5 linked regions of the Nothobranchius furzeri genome follow. Each later gene encodes a partner of the first gene's protein in a complex. Links are inferred from orthologs where the notes say so. Each region holds a gene or a part of one and is shown on either strand. Other genes may lie near its edges.

Region 1 (3,948 bases):
CAAACATGCTCACTTAGATTATTATTCAGTCAGAGTTACATCATATAATCCATTCGTTTCACTGAAAAAGGAGCAGGCAGAACTATGAACTTGTTTAGCCCGTCCAAGTAACATGGAAGAAAAAATACATGTATCTGTATGTAAATGTAGTTAAAATGTCTTCCCACAATAGCTCATGTAGATTCTGTCTGAGTTATACCATAAAAATCCTACAGTTCCACTAAAAGAGTATTTACCTGCAAACTAGCCTGTTAGCTCAGCTTTCTGCTGCTTCCTCTGTAGCAAGTTAGCAGTACACAGGTTAGCTCCAGTAGCTGCAAAGTCTCTGATGTTCCACAGGTTCCTGAAAAATTAGCAAACTTATTAACATAAACTGCAATAATTAATTCCATGAAACCAGTAATGAATATGTTAAGATGAATTTTTAATACGTCTCTCTGGAACAATAGACCATTGTCCTTAGGCTAGCACAATGCTTGCTTAGCAGCTAGCTAGTGAGCTAACGTCTGGTTAAAACCAACTTAAAAAGTGGCTTAATTTACAGATTAACTAAGAAAAGATCAAATATATCATCAATTGTCACTTTAGATCCTCAGTAGACACCACAGACAGCAGAAATAATGTGTTTGGGGCTCAAAATTCATGTTGTTGACCGAGGTGGGAAAAGAATGTCTTGGAGGCTACATCACTTCCGGGTCACTGAACAGTCACTCAAGAGAAACCACTGTCCTATAGGAGAGGACTTCTCAGAAGTCCCACCCACCCGAAAGGGTTGTGTCAGAATTGCAACCAAAAACTCAGGGATTGCAAAAGAGAAAGCCAGAAAGTTTAAGTGCAAATCTGGTAGTGAGAGCTAAGCTGTGTGCAGCGAGAACGAAACTAAGGAAACTGATAACAAAAACACATAGAGGCAAACAGAAAAAGGAAACATACTTTGTTACTCATTTTAAGAAGTTGATTCAGATCATAAGTTTTTCTTTTGAAACAATTTTTTTCTCTCGCAATGTCTTAATATTTGATCTTCAAAGTGTTTTTCTTGATCCTATTGGCACAAATCTAATCCCATAGCATCGCTCACCGGGCGGTGGTGAAACCGGAGGAGCCCCTGCGAAGGTCACTCAGAAGCCCCGTTTATGCTAAAATGAAGCAGCAGCGCTCGCGACGTTATACAGACGCCATTTTGTATCCCGGGTGTCAACCAAGAGATTACCCGCGCTAACGTTTCTCTTAATTTGGACTATCATCAACACGGCGGATCAGCATCGTGCACCCACAGGTAGCTTCGCGTGGTAGGTAGCAACAAACATGGTAGCCCCGAGTTTGGCTCGTGCACGCGCCTCTACAGCGTGCTGCTCGACCGGCTGTGCTAACCGGTCTTTTGAGGAAAGAATCGGACACGCGTCCATCGATGCCGTTATTGGGGTAATGCAGGGAAAGGAGAGCTTATGGCTCATAGCCAACAGTGTTTAATACATCACGGTACACGTTCTCCATTCACCGGTGTCGGCGCGGTAACTACCGAGGCCTACTACGGGGGAAGCAGTAGCTCAGGTGGTAGAGCGGATTGCCTCGTGATCGGAGGGTCATGGGTTCGATTCCAGCTCCCGCCAGGGGTATCCTGCTGTTGTGTCCTTGGGCAAGACACTTCACCCAACTTGCCTGTGTTAGTGGTGGTCAGAGGGGCCGACGGCGCCAAATGGCAGCCTCGCCTCTGTCAGACCTCCCCAGGGCGGCTGTGGCTACAAGTGTGTGAATGTGAGAGTGTGTGAAAGCGTCTTTGGGTGTCTAGAAAAGCGCTATATAAACTCAGTGCATTATTATTATTATTATTATTACTCGAGCCCCACGCGCTCTCAGGTGTGGTGAGTGTTGGTTTCAGCAGTTATGGTCCATTAGACCGGGTCGCTGCTCTGGGGCTACTTATCCATGTTTTTGTTTGTTTTAAACGACTCCGATCTGTCGCTGATGGGTTTTCAGTTTAGTAACGATCTAACCGGATCAGTGTGGTCAGACGATGTCCGCTGTCCAGCTCGATGGCGCCAAATACCGGCGGCTGTTGTCTGAAGTCACCCGGAAACAGATCAGTTAGCTGTGTTTAAACCAGTCTAGGATCACAACAGGTGTTATCGGTAGATTTACCCACTAACACAACAGTTAGGCCAGGGCAATCTAACGCTGGTCTTCCCGGGCCACCGTGTAGCATGTTTTGGTTGTTTTCCTGCTCCAACACACCTGGTTCAGTTCGCTTCCCTAAGAAACCAATTACTGGAGCAGACACACCAGAACGGTGGCCCTGGAGGACAAGGGTTAGACCATTGGACCAGGGTTATCAACTTTAAAGAGCAAGTCACCCCCAAATCTACTTCTTTTGCTGATACATTATATAAACTAGTGTCTAATCGGGCTGTAGACGCATGCAGTCAATAATTTGGGCCTTTAGTGTATCATACTTCAAATGTAAATAATATTCCTAAAACTCAGTGTCGCACCGTGTTCAGGTAAACACCCTGCACTGCAGCTGAATTTAAATCTGACATTGCTATTGGCTAAGAGGTACACCATGACGTTAGCTGGTACATTATGTCACAATGTTGTTGTGAACCTGTGTTCGTGTGTGTGTGCGTGCGCTAGGCAACAGCATTTGTTGCATTTTTCAAACAGGAAGTGGGAGTGGAGTAAGACTGATAAGATGTGACTGGATAAGAAAAGATTCATAATCAAACTAGTAAGTCAAGAGCATTGAGGGGGTTTATTCTGTCGTAAAAACTTTGTGTTCAGAGTTAGGGATGCATGTTCATACGATACGTATCGCGATACAGAGTAGAAAATATCGCGATACTAAAAGCTGAGGAATATTTCCGAGACTGAATTTAAATGAAAGAAGCATCATGGTAAACAGTCCAAACTGTTACATGTGCTGGTGCAACCAACGCAAAGGGATCTACATTTCATCACAGGAAATAAAAATTTGCCCTTTAACTGGGCGGTGTTTTAACTGGTAGAGTTGAGTTTCAGCTCAAACTGTACGACTTCCTTGCAGAGCAAGTCTCACGAGTTACGTGCTCACACTGTATGTCTGGTAGCGACATGTTGGGCCCACAAATATGCTAAAATCAGCTGTTTTTACACAACACGTCAGACTTATCGTATTATTAGGGATGCACGTAGTTAACTGCTTAATTGCCTTTAATGTTGTGACCAGGTAAACTAGTTTTTTCCAGTTAACTGTTTCAAGTCCTTCTGCTGTGCTTGGTGCAATATATTTTGTGCCACTAGAGGACGCAAGAGTGCCACTGTCAAATGGTTTACTGGGCGACCGCAGAAGAAGAAATGAGCTCATCACAAGACCTAACAAATGTGCTGAAACACAAGCGGTTATTAGAGTTAGCGGTTATTGTTTGTTCTTTCGTTATTTCATTCTTGGAGCACAAAAAGCCTCACATCAGAGCGCCGAGCCGAGACCAGCAGCAGGTCCGTCGGCCGTGACGCTCCTTATGCCTGATGCCTTATTTGTCCAGTACAATAAAGAAATTAAGTTTTCTTGCATTCAACTAAATAATTACACTAGGTGTTAAAACCGCGGCCAGACTGCACTTATCAGCACGTGATCACAAGCAGCGCTGCGTATCTGAGATCAGATGGTCCGCTGAGTCTGACGGACAATCCAGCTGTCATCCCACTCTCTTTACTTTTGTTCATAAACATAACGAGTGTGGGACTTAAGTCGTGAGTCATTGTATTAAAGAGTAGATGGAGAAAGTGTTATTCATAGAGCGAGGCAAATGTTTGGGGGGGGCTATTGACCGCTACGGAGCGTCGCTAGCCGGTTAAAGAAAGTTTGGTAAGCATACATCCCCAGTTGTTATTGTCCGTTGGGATCGCTGGAGGTTGGAGGAGGAAGACGATGAAAGTGAATCAACATCTTATCAGTTTAATCTGACAAACACG
Region 2 (4,202 bases), about 13 Mb from region 1:
GAGGAACAGATATGAGATTGATAGATGCACTTCTGCTACAGAATGCAGTCGTTAAAGACACAATGTGAGTGTAAAAAGGTAAATGGTAAGGCTTTAGCTATTCAGGGATGACCCTCAAACACATGTGTGAAAGGTTATATCATAAATATATGATAGAATACTTCAAACGAGGCTTTACCTCTTGCTAGTTATGTGCATTGGCACTTAAAGCCAATACAGTTCAACAAAGCTTGGATGGCGCTTCAGGGATGCTGAAGGCCACCTCGGCTCTGTCCCATCCTTACCAGCTGTATTTGTTCTCTTCAATAAATTCAAAGTAGCCCCTTCCATGTTCCTCCCGGCGTCTCTTAACACCCTTCTTATTCTTCTGATCAGCATTCGTGTCTTTGTCCGCATCTCCTTTGAAAATAGAACAAAGATATAGAATGAGGTGCTCCTTTTTGAGAGAGAGAGAGGTCGGACTGGCAGTGGGGTTCTGGCCCACGAAGCCCGTTCATTATTTACATTGCGTCTAGCATGATTACCAAGAGGAAACACCTCATAGTTACATTTAAAACAGTACAATCATATTACATGACTTGTAACAACTGGTAAGACCAGGTAGTAATTACAGCATGAACTGGCCCAAATGAACAGCAGCAGCAGAGCTTGATGGGGCTGGAAAAGGGGTCGTGAAAGGGTAAGAACCCTTCAGATACAAGTCCTCTAGTCCTAGATGAGGGTCTACTGCATCAGGGGGAGTTAACCATGCAGGGAAACCTACCTAAAGCCCAATGACACCCCCCGCTAAAGAAAAGGATGATATGTAAATAAAAATGTATGTATACCCTTTAATATCACGCTTGTATTTCAAATCGAAAACACACGATGGACGTATCAGGAAAGTTGTAGGCCACTCCGTTCTTCTGCAAAGCGCTGGGTTAGCAAGTTCAGAGGTTCCCAAGCTCATAACCCAAACTAACACCCAAATACAGCTTCAGGTCTTTTACATCAGCCTGCTGAGGCTCTTCCTTCAAACATCTGCACCTCATAACCAGACCTGATGCTAGTGTTGGCTTTTGATCCGGCTAAACACGATTCTGGACTTCACTCGTCTACACTAGATAGAATCTTTAATAATTTAATCAATCACATACAGTCCAAGACTGGGACAATTTAGTTCTTATGGGCAACTCAAAGTGGTCCAGCCCAAAAACACGCAGACATCTGGACTAACAGTTTGAAGCTGACATGCACTGACCTGCGGAAGGAAACCATGGAAACCCACACATGCACGCGGAGAACAAGCTAACTCCATGCAGAAAGGCTGGAGCTGGGATGTGAACCTTGCTAAAAGCTAAAAGTGCTACCAAATGGAGTTTGTGAAACCGTTAATCATTCAGTAAGACTAAAGTGTTATTGATAACGGGACCACATCAGAACCAGTCATATGAAGCAAGGTGACAGACTCTGGTGCCTTGCTGATCTCTGGACCAGATCAGAAGCGGTCCTTGTAGAAAACTTCATCAGTAATGTGTGCCACTCCTAGTTGATCAGAGGTAGAAAATGTAACGCATGGGGGATTTAGACCACGTTTGGACCCACTCATTAAAAAAATCTAAAAACTAAAATTGTCTTCAGTAATTTGTGTTTTTGCGACTGGAGCACGTAAGAACTGATCCTGTTCTGAAAACAGAACACGTTTTAGTTTTTATATGTATTAAAGAATTACTTTAGCCCCCTCCCGCCTCGTCTACGTGCTGTAGTTCTGAACTAGAGCTGATCAAACGTAGTCCAGATGAAGCCTTGGCGAGAGGAAAACCGACTAAAGCGTGATGGGAACCTCTGAAATGGCTAACACGGCTAGCTAGCGCAGACCGATACAAAGGAAAAACGATGCTAACTAGCGTGCTACTATCAAGCGACACAAGAGAAAAATAACAAATTAATTTCTTAAGAATTATTTATAAGCATGTTCCTTAGTTAGTCCGTGTCAATTAACCTACTATCCGTTGGTAAACTGGGTTAGAGAATCGTACATTTAAATTATTGTAACCAAGGCGTTGGCTAATGCTAACTAGCCTGAATCACGCTGACTGACTCAACATGGACGCCATGATAAGCGGTAACAACCGGCTACCCCTCCCTTACGGAAAAGCATTCAAATCTACGCTACAGTTCCCACCTCCCCCCACAAAATGACACCCAGCCACGGTTCATCCAACAAATCATTTTCATAGCGTATTGTTTCTTCTCACCCTCAGTAGCGTGATCGCCGGGCTCACCATCTTCTGTGTCAATTTTCTCCATGTCGTCTACATCCTCCTTTAGCATGGGATCCATCTCGTCCTCCTCGTCACCTTCCTCTTCCCCCTCACCCATCTCCTCGTCCACCGACACACCGTTCCCGTCGCCGTCATTCGCCGGCTCTTCTCCCTCGTTGGCCTCCATGCTCTCCTCTACCGGGCCTTCTTCTTCCTCCCCCATACCCTCCTGGATGTCCGCGGCCTGCTCGTCCGTCGCCACATCCTGAGCGGCCGAGTCTCCAGCGAGGGCCTCCTCGTCCAGCGCGGCCTGCAAGCGGTCCATCAGATCGGCCTTCAGCCCCTTGTCTGATAGGTTTCGTTTCTTGAGCTCGTCTTTTAGCTCGTTTACTTTAAGCTTCTTCACGTTAATCGTGCTCATTGTGGACGTTTAACGACAAACTACTAAAATACGTCGACAAATAAACAATAACGTGCACTTTGTTAGTAGATGTTGCTCGAAACGACGCCAAACGTTACGCGCGATCCAACCTTTCACCAACGGAGAGGGAGCTGATGAGCCAGCCTCGGCGGCGGGAGGGGGAGCAGAGCGCTAACCACTACCGTAATGATCCTAAAAGCAGCACAGTCGAGCCAGAGCCACCACGGTATTAAAACTGGAACAAGAACAGGGCAGTGCAGAGATGAGAGACGGGTGCCCCAAGTTTAAACGGGGCACCTAAAACAAGACTGTCAAACCCCTTACATCATTTACAGATGACCAGGTAGACTAATAACAACTCATTATCAATAATCTATCTAATCACACCATCTGCTTCAAGCTGTGTTTTGTTGCCTCTACCTTTATTGCGCCTGTTGCTTGAACAAAGGGCAAAACATTCAGGCTCTAGATGTGGAAAGCTGGTAGGGACATAACCCAAAGAGACACCCCCCAAAGCCATTCAGCTGTAATTGCAGCAAAAGATGAGTCCACAAAGTATTTATGCAGGGGGCTGAATACAAATGCACAACACACTTTCATATTTTTATTTGCTTAAAATTTTTGAAAACCATGTTTCATTTCACACTTATGTGCTTTTTTATGTTGATCTAGCAAAGAAAATATCAATAAAAATATTGAAGTTTGTGGTCAAAATATGTAGAAGTTCAGAGGGTATGAATACCTTTGCAAGGCACCACGTATGTATGTATGTATGTATGTATGTATGTATGTATGTATGTATGTATGTATGTATGTATGTATGTACGTACGTACGTACGTATGTATGTATGTATGTATGTATGTATGTATGTATGTATGTACGCATGTATGTATGTATGTATGTATGTATGTACGTATGTATGTATGTACGCATGTATGTTTGTATGTATGTATGTACGTATGTATGTATGTATGTATGTATGTATGTATGTACGCACGTACGTATGTATGTTTGTATGTATGTATGTACGTATGTATGTATGTATGTTTGTATGTATGTATGTATGTACGCATGTATGTATGTATGTATGTACGTATGTATGTATGTACGCATGTATGTTTGTATGTATGTATGTACGTATGTATGTATGTACGCATGTATGTATGTATGTATGTATGTATGTATGTATGTATGTATGTATGTATGTATGTATGTATGTATGTATGTATGTATGTATGTATGCATGTATGTATGCATGCATGCATGCATGTATGTATGTATGTATGTATGTATGTATGTATGCATGTATGTATGTATGTACGCATGTATGTATGTATGCATGTATGTATGTATGTATGTATGTATGTATGTATGTATGTATGCATGCATGCATGCATGTATGTATGTATGTATGTACAGACGCAAACTGCCTTTCAACCAGTGATGGGTCGGCAAATGTATCTAGCTCATAGAGCGAGACCCTGCTTTGGTATGAAGAAGTAGTCACATGACCAAAATGGCTGCTGTTTCGCCTGCC
Region 3 (3,512 bases), on another chromosome or scaffold:
GGGGTCTCCCATAAAGACAGTGGGAGGTTTAAACAAGTTTTTATCCGTAGCTGTTTCTCATTACTAACGCTGGAGTTTGTGCCCTTCTGTCTCTGTCGGGTCTGTGAGAATGTAAAACAGCCTTTCAGACATAAACTTGTAAACAGAAGAAAATAAAACATCGTGATGCGGATCTTACACCATATGGCCCATTCCTACCACCCAAATAAATAATAACCCCTGTAATGTGATGAAGGAGCTATTCCACCGCAGGTTATTTACCCTCTCTCCTCGGTAAGAACTAATCTGCATGAGACTGCCTCAAGGACATGCATTTGCTTCTAAAACTGTTTCCTTTCCAGCTCAACAGAAGAAAGAAGATAAACTCTTTCTTTTTAATAAATCAAAGAACTCTATTTTTAATAAAGCTAATCAAACAAAGTGTTAGTCCAATAATAAAATGTGAACCAATCTGTGAAATGACAATGTTTAGGATCAGTGGTATTTTAATATTAATAAGTAATAAGACTTTAATCTAGCTGCACTAGACATCCTGATCCACATAATGCTTAAAGTCACATGACATTTTATCTTTCTCATCCAATCGGATCCTTCCTTTCTGAAGCGTGGCATGCTCTTTGTGGTGTTTATAAATCCGTCAAACTCTGATTCGACCGTAAATCAAAACATCCAGATTAATAAAACCAGTCCCCACGCCATCTTAGTTCAGTTCACCACATTCTAAGAGAAGTATCGGACCGGCCACCCGGACTTCCTTTATAAGCAAAGAATCGACAAGCTGGATAAATTCTGTTGCACTTTACAAACCAGGCAACGGTTCCTTCCAGAATAAAAGCTGAACTCACTGACCCTCAGGGTCCATCTGACGCTGTCAACCAACTATCGCTTTTTACCTGGAGACAATCCAAAGACTAGTCTGTCGTATCGCTGACGCTGTTTCATCGGCTCCGGTACCGGGGGGTCCGAGAACCTGGCATTCTGGATCTGTACGGAGGTCTCATCCTGAAGGGTATGTGTGGAGCGACAATATGGCGTCTTATGTGTTTATGAAACAACGATGGCTTAAGAGCAAAACATCACTTCCCACTCAGACTTGCTTCTCCGGATACGAGAGTTCTGATGACAACATCACTCACACATACACCATCCATCTCACGTCTCATTCACACCAAGATCCATTCATCACTTAGAGTTTAGAGTTAGTCTTGTTTAAAATTCTTTAAAATTGTGTAGAAATAAATCTTCTTAAACTTTTTAAAGGTGACTCTCTCTTCTCTTGTCTCTCAGTTAATACGAAGTGTTACATAATCCCTGCAATAAAAAGTTCCAATCTTCTGGTTTAAGTTATCCAAAGGTCCATTAGATTGATTTCATATTTCCTATAGAATTTCACATCTTATGGTTCATTAAATAGACGTACATTAAATCATTACCCCCCCATCCTGTTTGTTGTTCCCTAGCCCTCGGATCCCAGCTGCCCCGTGTCTCTGATCCAGGGCAAGATGGCCATGTTTGAGCCCTCTCAGCGCCAGAGCGCCGCCGGTGTCGTCCCCTGGTCTCCACCTCAGGTCAACTGGAACCCATGGACCAGCAGCAATATCGACGAGGGACCGCTGGCCTATGTAAGGCTTTACTCTGGACTGATGCTGGCTTTGTCCTCTGACCTGTAGCAGTCACCTGATCACTGTGTGATTCTAATGTGATCTAACCCACCAGTGCACCCCTGAGCAGATCAGTGGGGATCTTCACCAAGAGCTGATGTTCCAGCTGGAAAATGACGAGAACCTACAGAAGGTCTGTTTCTTCCTTGAGTGGAGTCAACTGTTAGAGGAAGGTGTTTACCAAACAACTCCCTTTATGTTCAGATCCTGTCAGAGCGTGAGCAGCTGCCCGTCAAAAGCTTTGAGGAGGAGATCATGGCAGCCATCGACCACAACCCTGTAGTGATCATCAGAGGAGCGACTGGTTGCGGAAAAACCACACAGGTCCCTCAGTACATCCTGGACAGCTTCATCAAGGGGGGCCGAGCGTCAGACTGCAACATCGTGGTTACCCAGGTAATGCTCAGTGATGACCTGTGACAACACGGTCACCATGGTAATTCTCTATTTAGGGCTTCAACCTTGTGGTTACCATGGTAACGCTCTTAAGATGGCCTGGGAGATGCAGAGGTGACTACCTGGAATCTGAGGATTGATGATTAGAATTTGTGTTTTTTAAAGCTTCAATCAGCTAATTTGTAGTTGATGATGATGTCATTGATGAAGTCATTACAGTAATCATCTTCTGGTCATTTTGCTTTGTTGAAAATTAAACCAAATCAAAACATCTGATCTCTAAAATTGCAGGAAATAACTTTTCCTCCTACACTGACATTTTGTTGATCAGCTGTTTGTTTACCTGTTTGTTTGTCTATCAGCTGTTTGTTTACCTGTTGTTTGTCTATCAGCTGTTTATTTACCTTTTGTTTGTTTATCAGCTGTTTGTTTACCTTTTGTTTGTCTATCAGCTGTTTGTTTACCTGTTGTTTGTCTATCAGCTGTTTGTTTACCTGTTGTTTGTCTATCAGCTGTTTGTTTACCTTTTGTTTGTTTATCAGCTGTTTGTTTACCTTTTGTTTGTCTATCAGCTGTTTGTTTACCTGTTGTTTGTTTGCCAGCTGTTTGTTTACCAGCTGATAGACAATCAGCTGTTTGTTTACCTGTTGTTTGTCTATCAGCTGTTTGTTTGCCTTTTGTTTGTCTATCAGCTGTTTGTTTGCCAGCTGTTTGTTTACCAGCTGTTTACCTGTTGTTTGTTTGCCAGCTGTTTGTTTATCAGCTGATAGACAATCAGCTGTTTGTTTATCAGCTTTTTGTTTACCTGTTGTTTTTCTATCAGCTGATTGTTTACCTGTTGTTTGTCTATTAGCTGATTGTTTAATGAGATCCTGGTCCCCTGCAGCCCCGGCGGATCAGCGCCGTGTCTGTGGCCGAACGAGTCGCCTACGAGAGAGGAGAGGATCTTGCGAAAAGCTGCGGTTACAGCGTTCGTTTTGAGTCGATGCTGCCCCGACCTCATGCCAGCATCCTCTTCTGCACCGTCGGTAGGAAGTCTCCCCGCTGCACTTTGGACCAGCCTCAATGGAGGTTGTGGGATTAATTCCCAGACTGTGTTTCAGGTGTTCTGCTGAGGAAGCTTGAAGCGGGAATCCGAGGAATCAGTCACGTCATCGTGGATGAGATCCATGAGAGAGACATCAATGTGAGCTCACCCTTCAGAAGGTTTTCAGATGAAAAAGTCACGTCTGAGATTTTCAGCTGTTTCTGTGCTTCAGACGGACTTCCTGATGGTGGTTCTCAGAGATGTGGTCCAAGCTTTCCCAGAGGTACGCGTCGTTCTCATGTCCGCCACCATCGACACCTCCATGTTCAGGGAATATTTCTTCAACTGCCCCGTCATCGAGGTGTTCGGGCGCACCTTCCCCGTTCAGGGTACTCGCCCAGTTTCTCCTGCTGGAGCATGACCTGAAC
Region 4 (4,263 bases), on another chromosome or scaffold:
TCTACAACAAAGGGTTTTAATTTTGGAATGGGACAACTGGGTGACTGTTTCAGGATTTTAGCCCTGTGACAGCGTACCTCAGTCATCTCTGCGTGGTGCGTTGGGTGTATGGGGCCTGCGGCCGTAGCGACTACGTACAAAATATGGTGGGTAGCGCCGTCTGCCAGGGTACGCTGGTCTGCGCTGTGGTTGCTGCGAATCTCCATCAGGGATGTTATCTCCACCCTCTCTGCTGCCTTTGTCACGTCCTCCACTGCCAGGCTCTCCCTCGTCGCTCTGGTAGTTCTCTGGATAGTCTCCTCCACGGGGAGGCCCCCTCCTTCGTGGGTAGCGTCTGTAACGGTTCCTGTCAGCAGCGTACTTACTCCCCTGGACTGCAACTCCTCCTGGGCCAGTGACATTTGCTGCCTCTGCTCCCTGTGCACAAGAAAAAAAGGCAAAGTAAATTAATCATGATGGAACACAATGTCCTTTAAACAAACAAATCAAAGAAACTTACTTTTTCTCCCTCAACTACATCAAACTCCACAGTTTCTCCGTCCCCAACACTGCGAAGATATTTCCTTGGGTTGTTCTTTTTTATGGCCGTCTGAAATTACAAATAGTTTGAATGTCAAGTCTGCTTAACCACAAATTTCAATAAATGAATAAAAACTAAAGCAACAACTGACCTGGTGTACAAAAACATCTTCCTTTGTATCGTTCCTAGACAAAAGAACAGAATCTTAGTTAGCTGCATTCTGCTGAGCCTCTGCAAACAGACTTAAAACTAAGCCAGTGGGGATTAATTAAGTTCTGTGGGTTGCAACAGGATGGAGATGAGCAGAAAAATAATATGGTCAGCCAAGTACGCAAAGCATAACTTAATAGGATTAGCATGCTTCACTCTCACCCACACCCAGAAATGTACTTTGACACAGGGACCAACAGGTGACTCACCTATTGATGAAACCATATCCATTCCTGACGTTGAACCATTTGACTGTACCCAAGACTTTTGTTGCTGCAATCACAGTCAGAACAAGATTATTAAATACCATCGTCTGCCTGACATGCATTTAGAACAAATCCATATAGCTTAAGTGAAACTGAAACGCTTCCATCATGATGGGACACTTAACGAACTACATCAGAACTATAAAAACATTAAAAACTATGGCCACACATAACGTAGAGGTTATATTTAACCCGCAACTGTCACTCCTATTATAGACACTGATGCTTAGGAGACCCCAGGGCCAGCTGCTCCTAACATGAGCCACCAGTAAGAAAATATCCCAGTAACGATACAACAACTGTCCCAAATGACGCATCCAAAATGTCCCATAATGCATGACAAAGATGAGGATGCAAACAGCGACCAGTCTCTGCACTCGCATGTTTAGTTACTGCAGACCTGCTGCTCCATTTTAGGACGCAGAACCTGAAGGTTCACACGTGGTTGGGTCGCACCCGGATACGTTAACGAGCTGTGAGCTGTGCTCTGCTGGCTATTAGCATGGCTGTGTGGCTAAGGTTAGTACCATGTGGTTGGAGTAGAGCCAGCAAAGAGAAACAAACAAACGCGCATTACTAAACTACATTAATCCGTATTTATTGGTATATATGATAAAGATTTCGGTTTTGAATTAGTTTTTAGCGAACAAATTACAAAGCAGCGGGAAAAAACGGGAAAACACACGGCGGACATTTTGGACGGCCTCCCCTAAAGCCATGTAAATAGCCACTTAGCTGGCTAGGCTAATGTAGCTAGGTTAGCAACCGATGATCTATAGTAAAGTATTTAGGCCACACCGACAGCACGCAAATTCAACCAAAATAAGACCGCCATTGACGGATGTAGCTGGAGTCGCTAGCCAACAACGTTTCTTCTGACAATTTGGCCAAAAAAATCGGGACTGAACGCTTTGGAAAAGGAGAATATTTTAGATAAAATGCCTTGACATGGAATCAAGACTCTTTCGTGCGAACAAAGAGATGGTTAAGCAGCTAACGTTCGTAGCCACTGTAGTTATTTCACATGAACCGGTGTTATAGAGCATTTGGTAGGATTGTTCTGCAATTATTGGCGGTCCAGATGCAGTTATGCAGTTATTAAACCCTAGTCAAAACATCGTGGTTCTGGCAACGGTTGGAAGTGACAGCGAGCATCCATGTGATGACCGGCCGGATACACGCGACTCTCAAACGGATATTTGACGTGAGGAGGCCGATGAGCAATGGAGATAATCAGAATGGAATTCACGATTTAATCTGTGAATAAACCACTCAATTTTTAGAAACTAGACTAATAAAAACCGTTAGATTGAATTTTTTGGACCATTATAATAAGAATGCCCAAAGGAGTGAAGAATTTATCCGTCAACTGGCACTAACGTTTACCAACTGGAGCAAATTAATTTGACGTGGCTGAAATTCTCACGCAAGAACGGCAGCTTTTATTCAAATGCTACATCCACACCCAAGAGCGTATAAATTATAAATGATAACTCCGGCTCGGCTAGCCTAAGAATTCTTACCGATGACCTTCTTATCCCCCGCGGAAGCTGCGGGTGCCGGGCTGGATGGGCTCTCCGCATCCGCAGCAGGCTGTGGAGGTTGTTGCGTCTCGGCCTCGCTGCTCATGGTTACTACTCGTTGGTAATGGCTTCAGCCGGCGGCGGCTCTCTGATATTTTTCCCGGTGCTAGATGGTAACCTGGGCCGGCGGTGGTGGGGGCTACTGCCTTCGGGCTCTCAGCTTTCTTCTTTCCGCTCCCGTTGCCGATCGAACTGGGCAGAACAAGAGACAGTGCAGGGGAATGTTCCCAGGCGAAGACCCGCCCATCTCGTCTCCTGATTAGCTAAAATATGTAGAATTGAACAAATCTCCTTCCAATTGGCTATTGAGACTGTCAATCTTTTTTGAGCAAAGCCTTTGATGAAATTATTGGTCAAAAAGACGTACAGAAGTCTCAACGCCCCCAGTGACGTAAAAGCGAGAGAATTCTGCTTGTGACACTTCCGATAGTATTATGCATTTTGAATTATGTCATACAAAACTGTGAACCATACATGTGGTATGTTGCAAATGTGACAACTTTATGTTTAATTTATTTTGTCGTTTCTAGATAGTTGAAATAATTACTACTATTGTGATGTTTACCGTGGGAACATTCTAAGAAAAGACAAATAAACACCCCATAAATATTAGCAGGTAAAGACAAAGGTAACTGCAGAATCCACTCATATTATGTTCATGCACCACTGGCACCCTTTACAAGCACAGGCCAATGTGTGAAGCGCATGCGGTTAATCTCTCTCTCTCTCTCTCTCTCTCTCTCTCTCTCTCTCTCTCTCTCTCTCTCTCTCTCTCTCTCTCTCTCTCTCTCTCTCTCTCTCTCTCTCTCTCTCTCTCTCTCTCTCTCTCTCTCTCTCTCTCTCTCTCTCTCTCTCTCTCTCTCTCTCTCTCTCTCTCTCGGAGTTAGTGCTGCTAGATTAGACAGATTTTATGTCTCTGGTAAAAAAAAAAAACAGCTTGGGCATTTCGTGCAAGAGAGGGCCAAAGGGGCCTTGATCCGGGCTCGTTTCACCACATTACAGGACATGGATGCTCCAACATCCTTCTTTTTTAACCTGGAAAAGACTTTCAAACCAGAAAAAAACAAATGGTTGCTCTTCGTCTGTCAGATGGACAGTTATCCACAGACCCAGTGGAGATGAGGAAGTATGCAGGAGAATTCTATACCAGCCTATTTAAGGCCATGTGATGTGAACTGTGCCAGAGAGCTGTTGCAGGGGCTCCCTTCCTTGACCACAGCAGACCAAGACATCTTAAATGCAGACATAACCATGGAGGAGCTTACAACGGCAGTCTCCCAGATGGCTGCAGGAAAATCTCTGGGGATAGATGGCTTACCTGCTGACTTCTACAAATTCTACTGGAGCAGTATGGGACAGGACCTGATGGATGTTTTTAAAGACTCACTTCAGACAGGAGCACTTCCTGCATCGTGTAGGTGGGGCGTTCTGTCCCTGCTGCCGAAAAAGGGGACTTAACCCAACTAAAATACTGGAGACCAGTTTCCTTGTTATGTTCAGACAATAAGATTTTTTCTAAATTCTTATCAAACAGACTTTGGGGATTCATCGGAGGTCTAATCCCAGACGATCAGTCCTTTTGAATACCAGGAAAGTAATTAATGGACAATTTATTTTTAATGAGAGGCTACGGGCCTTTGGTTTTGGGGGGTCCTTTCTGGAATGGATTAAGATGCTGTATAGG
Region 5 (4,037 bases), on another chromosome or scaffold:
GGACAAGTTGCTTGTCCATCACAGTAGTTTTTTCAACTCATTATGTACAATTACTTTAAGCAACCACTGAAAAACAAGACACTTTCTATAAACATTTAATTATCTTTATTGGCCATGAAAACCCAGGTTAGACAAGTACACCATATTGTTTCAGAACGTTTGTGTATACGGCGATTTTCTTCTCAACGTTCTTCTCCGCCTGCTTGGTCAGCTTGACCAGTGTCTTTTTCTTGGAATAGCGGAGCTTGGCCTTCTCTTTTCTCTTCTCCTCCAGAGTGGCTGTGATGGCCTGGTACTTCCAGCCAACCTCGTGTGCCAGACGCCCGAGCAGAGCAAACTGAAAAGAAAAAAGGAAATTAAATAGTAAAATAAATTTAGCTGAGAGCAGGGAAATAAAACATACAATGGCATGTTTCAGTTAGGATTACTTTTCATTAAATTCAACGAAGGAAGCGAAGTCATGAAACATCACCAACAGCCAAACTAAGAGCAAAAATCTGATGAAAAACTTTTGTTCACAACTCACCTTACGAGTGGGCTTCAGGCGCACAATTTTCAGAGCAGCTGGCACAACCACACGCTTTCTCTAAAAAACAAAATCCACGTTAGAAAAAGTAAAAACTGCAGCTTCAGAAAGTATTTCACTTGGTAACGTGGCATGTCTCAGTCAAGATCTTGTTCCCTTTTCATGGTAAATTCAAAGAAGGGAGATAAAAGTAATCACCGACAGCCAAATTTCAAACGCTACATAAATAAAGACACATACCTTGTCATAAGGAGGGGGGATACCATCAAACACCTTCAGCCTGTCCAGAGCAGCCTGGCCTCTCTTGGTTTTGTGGGGAAGCATGCCTTGAGAGAGAAAAAAATACAAGGTAAAAAACAAAAATAAGGGAAACACCCTCGAGTATGACATTAGCAGAAGTCCAAAAACGCTGTTGCTTAACTCAGAAGTCAGATCCGAAGTGTTTGTTTCATCAATAGATGTTCAGATTCGGGATAAAGAGCTCATCACAGTCAAGCAACTTAGAACATGTAAACTGAAACTGCAATCACCTGCACCACTAAGGTCCCTTCATTGAAAGTTCTAAACAAAACCCAACGACTGAATCTGTAATTAAACTTCAAGCATTTGTTTATATTTACACAAATGTAAACTTCTTAACCTGAGCCACAATCCCACCTCTGACAGTCCTCCAGAAGATCCTGCTGGGAGCTCTGAAGTGGTACGGCCCACGTGAGGGATTGGTGTTCATCCTCTTGCGCAGGAAAGCCAGATACTTCACTGTTGGTGGACACAAACACCACAGTAAATCACAGGCAGACTACTTACTAAACTTAATGTCTTACTAGTAAACAATGCTGGTGTCTCAGATGGTAGTGCATGTAAGATAGTCTCATGGTCAGTGAAACTCGAATAATATCATTAAATCATCATTGACGAGCACATCTTAAGAGAAAAACTTATTTTATGTTTTACTTACGCTTGTTGCGATAGAAGTTTCCAGATATGTTGATGCCTTCACATCTTACCACCACTACTTTGTGGCCTACAAAAGAAAGATTAAAGGCTGGTTGGACACATTCCTTAAATCGTTGGTTATAAATGTCATTCTCCATTTGCGATAGAACATTTTTTCACAGTTAAAATGATAGTGCTAAATTCTGGGCGAGTCCTATTTCACATTAGACATCTGCTTCCATGTTTGCATTCATGCCAGGAACATGCAGCATCACACAAGGGTAGCAAACAGTCATGAACACTTTTAATAGGAATACAATAAAATGCAATACAAGCTGTGCATGCAAAGACTTGCATTAAATTGGTTTTCCCAGTAACAGGTCATATCGAATTTGGAAGCATAATTGCTAATATTTCCAACCAAGTCAATCCCCTCGACAGCATAAAACCCATGGACCTTGGTCAAACAGTGTTAATTATCTTATTTGTTAGTAATTCTTGATGTGTGGTTAAATGTCTACTGCAGTTCAAATGAGCATACTTTATTCACATCCTTAAGAAACAACTTACCCAGGAGGACCTGTTTAGCCACAATGGCAGCCAGTCGGCCAAGTAGATGGCCCCTGCCATCTATTAGCAGAACCTGTAGAATGTAGATGTACATTTTTTAAACTTTGGCTGACTGCCTGACTTTGCCCTAAAAAGCGTACTATTATCAACTAAGCATATTCATAATGTCTGATCGTTAAGCGAACAAGACATTAAACCATTTGAGTAAAAATTACTAAGACGTTTAAGAACTGTTGATTGTGACACTGTATCGTAGTCTTTTTCATGTGCATTTCAAAGCTAGCACATGGAACACTCGCGGCTAAAACACCCGTAGCTCACACGTAAGCTTGTTTCTGAAATAAACGTTTTGAGTATTGCACAGATATATAGCAGTCTCTTTATTTTATACGACAGTTGATTAATTTTCAATTTGATTCTCATTTTCACAAAAACTGTTAACAAGCTAACCATAAGCCACTGCCTCAGCGGGGAAGCTGCCATGATGAAGGCATGCTCAAATAGCTACCGCTAACTGATCCAAGTGTTAAAAAACGAGTCTTGCAGACAAGACGGACACAAGTACTGAATACGTTTAGAAATATAACGCTGTTATAAGCCATTCTGACTAAACAGATTGCGTATTGTAGTTGGCTAAATGTAGAATAATATATTTTATTTCCTCGCAACAGCAGCTTACCTTATTGAACCGGTCCGCCATGACGTGCGAAAAGAAAGAGCAACGGGGTTGCCCGTGGTAAAATGCAGGGGTGGCAGGAAGTGACGGAACGATATTTTTCTTCTTCGTGGGATGACTGAGGAACAGTCTAGCGCCATCCAACCAAACATAAATGCTTCTGATCGAAGAGAACGTTTGGGGTTTATTTGTAATAATTTAAAAGCATTGATTGGACCAATTTAAAATCTGATTACACAATACTTCTATTCAAATAGTCCAATGTTATTCAATTAGGGTCCTAGGGCCATAGCCGTGGTATGGCCTACCACAAGAGCTGCTGATCATCTTCTACACTGCTGCAGTCGAATCCATACTTTGCTCATCCATCACTGTCTGGTTTGGGTCAGCCACAAAAATGGACAAATGCAGACTATAGCGTATTATTAAAACAGCAGGAAAAATCATTGGTGCCCAACTGCCCTCTGTCCAGGAACTGTACATCAGCAGGACCAGGAAAAAGGCAGTGAATATTGTCCAAGATGCCACACATCCTGCATCTACTCTCTTCCATCTCCTCCCATCTGGCAGACGCTATAGATCACTGTACACAAAAACTACCAGACACAAGAACAGTTTCTTTCCGTCAGCCATTTCTCTCCTGAATCTGTAGATTCTTTTACCATCCTATTATTGTAGTTTTTAATGCTTATTCAGTATGCTTATGGATGTGCGTGTGTGTGTGAGTGTGTGTGTGTGTGGGGGGGGGGGGGGTATGTATATATGTGTGTGTGTAAATGAACATGTGTGTGGGTATACATGTTCTTATGTGTTTTTAGGTATTTTTATTCTCATTTATTGTGGTTGTTGTCTGTTTTAGAGAGCGAACATCTACCAAAGACAAATTCCTTGTAAATGTAATTTTACTTGGCCAATAAATCTGAATCTGAAATCTGATTAGGGTCCTAGGGCCATAGCTGTACATGCTTTTGCTGTTTCACTACTCCATCACACCTGATTCAGTTTTCTAATCAAGTCTTCAGCACTAATCATATCTTAAATCAAACCAGGTGTTTTGGTGCTGATGAGCATGCAGGTAGTGACCCTAAACAGGACTGAACAGTTCTGATAATAGTCCCAGTGTCATTTGATTTACAATCAAGTTAAATATGAGCTATAGTTGAAAAATGTCCCAGTACCTGCGAAAAAAATATTTCTCTAATTGGTGACCTCCATCTTCTATTCTGAATGACTCAGTTTTACTAAAATGTTTGTCTTTAGAAAAAGAAAAAAAATATTTCCACGTATCCACACCTTTTTAAGGTGATTGCTTCACCCAATTGAAAAAAA

The links.
Region 2: heterogeneous nuclear ribonucleoprotein Q-like (region 1) and hnrnpub share a complex: the UniProt entries of both Homo sapiens proteins name them as parts of the coding region determinant (CRD)-mediated complex. The link is inferred for Nothobranchius furzeri from reciprocal best matches to the Homo sapiens genes SYNCRIP and HNRNPU.
Region 3: heterogeneous nuclear ribonucleoprotein Q-like (region 1) and dhx9 share a complex: the UniProt entries of both Homo sapiens proteins name them as parts of the coding region determinant (CRD)-mediated complex. The link is inferred for Nothobranchius furzeri from reciprocal best matches to the Homo sapiens genes SYNCRIP and DHX9.
Region 4: heterogeneous nuclear ribonucleoprotein Q-like (region 1) and ybx1 share a complex: the UniProt entries of both Homo sapiens proteins name them as parts of the coding region determinant (CRD)-mediated complex. The link is inferred for Nothobranchius furzeri from reciprocal best matches to the Homo sapiens genes SYNCRIP and YBX1.
Region 5: heterogeneous nuclear ribonucleoprotein Q-like (region 1) and rpl13a share a complex: the UniProt entries of both Homo sapiens proteins name them as parts of the GAIT complex. The link is inferred for Nothobranchius furzeri from reciprocal best matches to the Homo sapiens genes SYNCRIP and RPL13A.

Annotation. Positions count from the first base shown.
Region 1 is NC_091742.1:17,031,937-17,035,884, reverse strand, and holds the start of heterogeneous nuclear ribonucleoprotein Q-like, read left to right. Parts: upstream 1-1,136; 5' UTR 1,137-1,276; exon of another isoform or gene 1,277-1,289; intron 1,290-3,948. UniProt on the Homo sapiens protein: Heterogenous nuclear ribonucleoprotein (hnRNP) implicated in mRNA processing mechanisms. Component of the CRD-mediated complex that promotes MYC mRNA stability.
Region 2 is NC_091742.1:29,998,749-30,002,950, forward strand, and holds the start of hnrnpub (heterogeneous nuclear ribonucleoprotein Ub), read right to left. Parts: upstream 2,804-4,202; 5' UTR 2,665-2,803; coding exon 2,238-2,664; intron 400-2,237; coding exon 285-399; intron 1-284. UniProt on the Homo sapiens protein: DNA- and RNA-binding protein involved in several cellular processes such as nuclear chromatin organization, telomere-length regulation, transcription, mRNA alternative splicing and stability, Xist-mediated transcriptional silencing and mitotic cell progression.
Region 3 is NC_091751.1:34,762,159-34,765,670, reverse strand, and holds part of dhx9 (ATP-dependent RNA helicase A), read left to right. Parts: intron 1-1,460; coding exon 1,461-1,622; intron 1,623-1,716; coding exon 1,717-1,794; intron 1,795-1,865; coding exon 1,866-2,057; intron 2,058-2,943; coding exon 2,944-3,085; intron 3,086-3,160; coding exon 3,161-3,243; intron 3,244-3,316; coding exon 3,317-3,473; intron 3,474-3,512. UniProt on the Homo sapiens protein: Multifunctional ATP-dependent nucleic acid helicase that unwinds DNA and RNA in a 3' to 5' direction and that plays important roles in many processes, such as DNA replication, transcriptional activation, post-transcriptional RNA regulation, mRNA translation and RNA-mediated gene silencing.
Region 4 is NC_091755.1:32,515,616-32,519,878, forward strand, and holds the start of ybx1 (Y-box-binding protein 1), read right to left. Parts: upstream 2,803-4,263; 5' UTR 2,626-2,802; coding exon 2,520-2,625; intron 1,004-2,519; coding exon 940-1,003; intron 706-939; coding exon 672-705; intron 590-671; coding exon 500-589; intron 418-499; coding exon 139-417; intron 1-138. UniProt on the Homo sapiens protein: DNA- and RNA-binding protein involved in various processes, such as translational repression, RNA stabilization, mRNA splicing, DNA repair and transcription regulation.
Region 5 is NC_091758.1:28,903,985-28,908,021, forward strand, and holds rpl13a (large ribosomal subunit protein uL13), read right to left. Parts: upstream 2,802-4,037; 5' UTR 2,733-2,801; coding exon 2,712-2,732; intron 2,106-2,711; coding exon 2,033-2,105; intron 1,551-2,032; coding exon 1,485-1,550; intron 1,447-1,484; exon of another isoform or gene 1,365-1,446; intron 1,286-1,364; coding exon 1,184-1,285; intron 1,021-1,183; exon of another isoform or gene 945-1,020; intron 853-944; coding exon 767-852; intron 587-766; coding exon 527-586; intron 338-526; coding exon 128-337; 3' UTR 91-127; downstream 1-90. UniProt on the Homo sapiens protein: Associated with ribosomes but is not required for canonical ribosome function and has extra-ribosomal functions.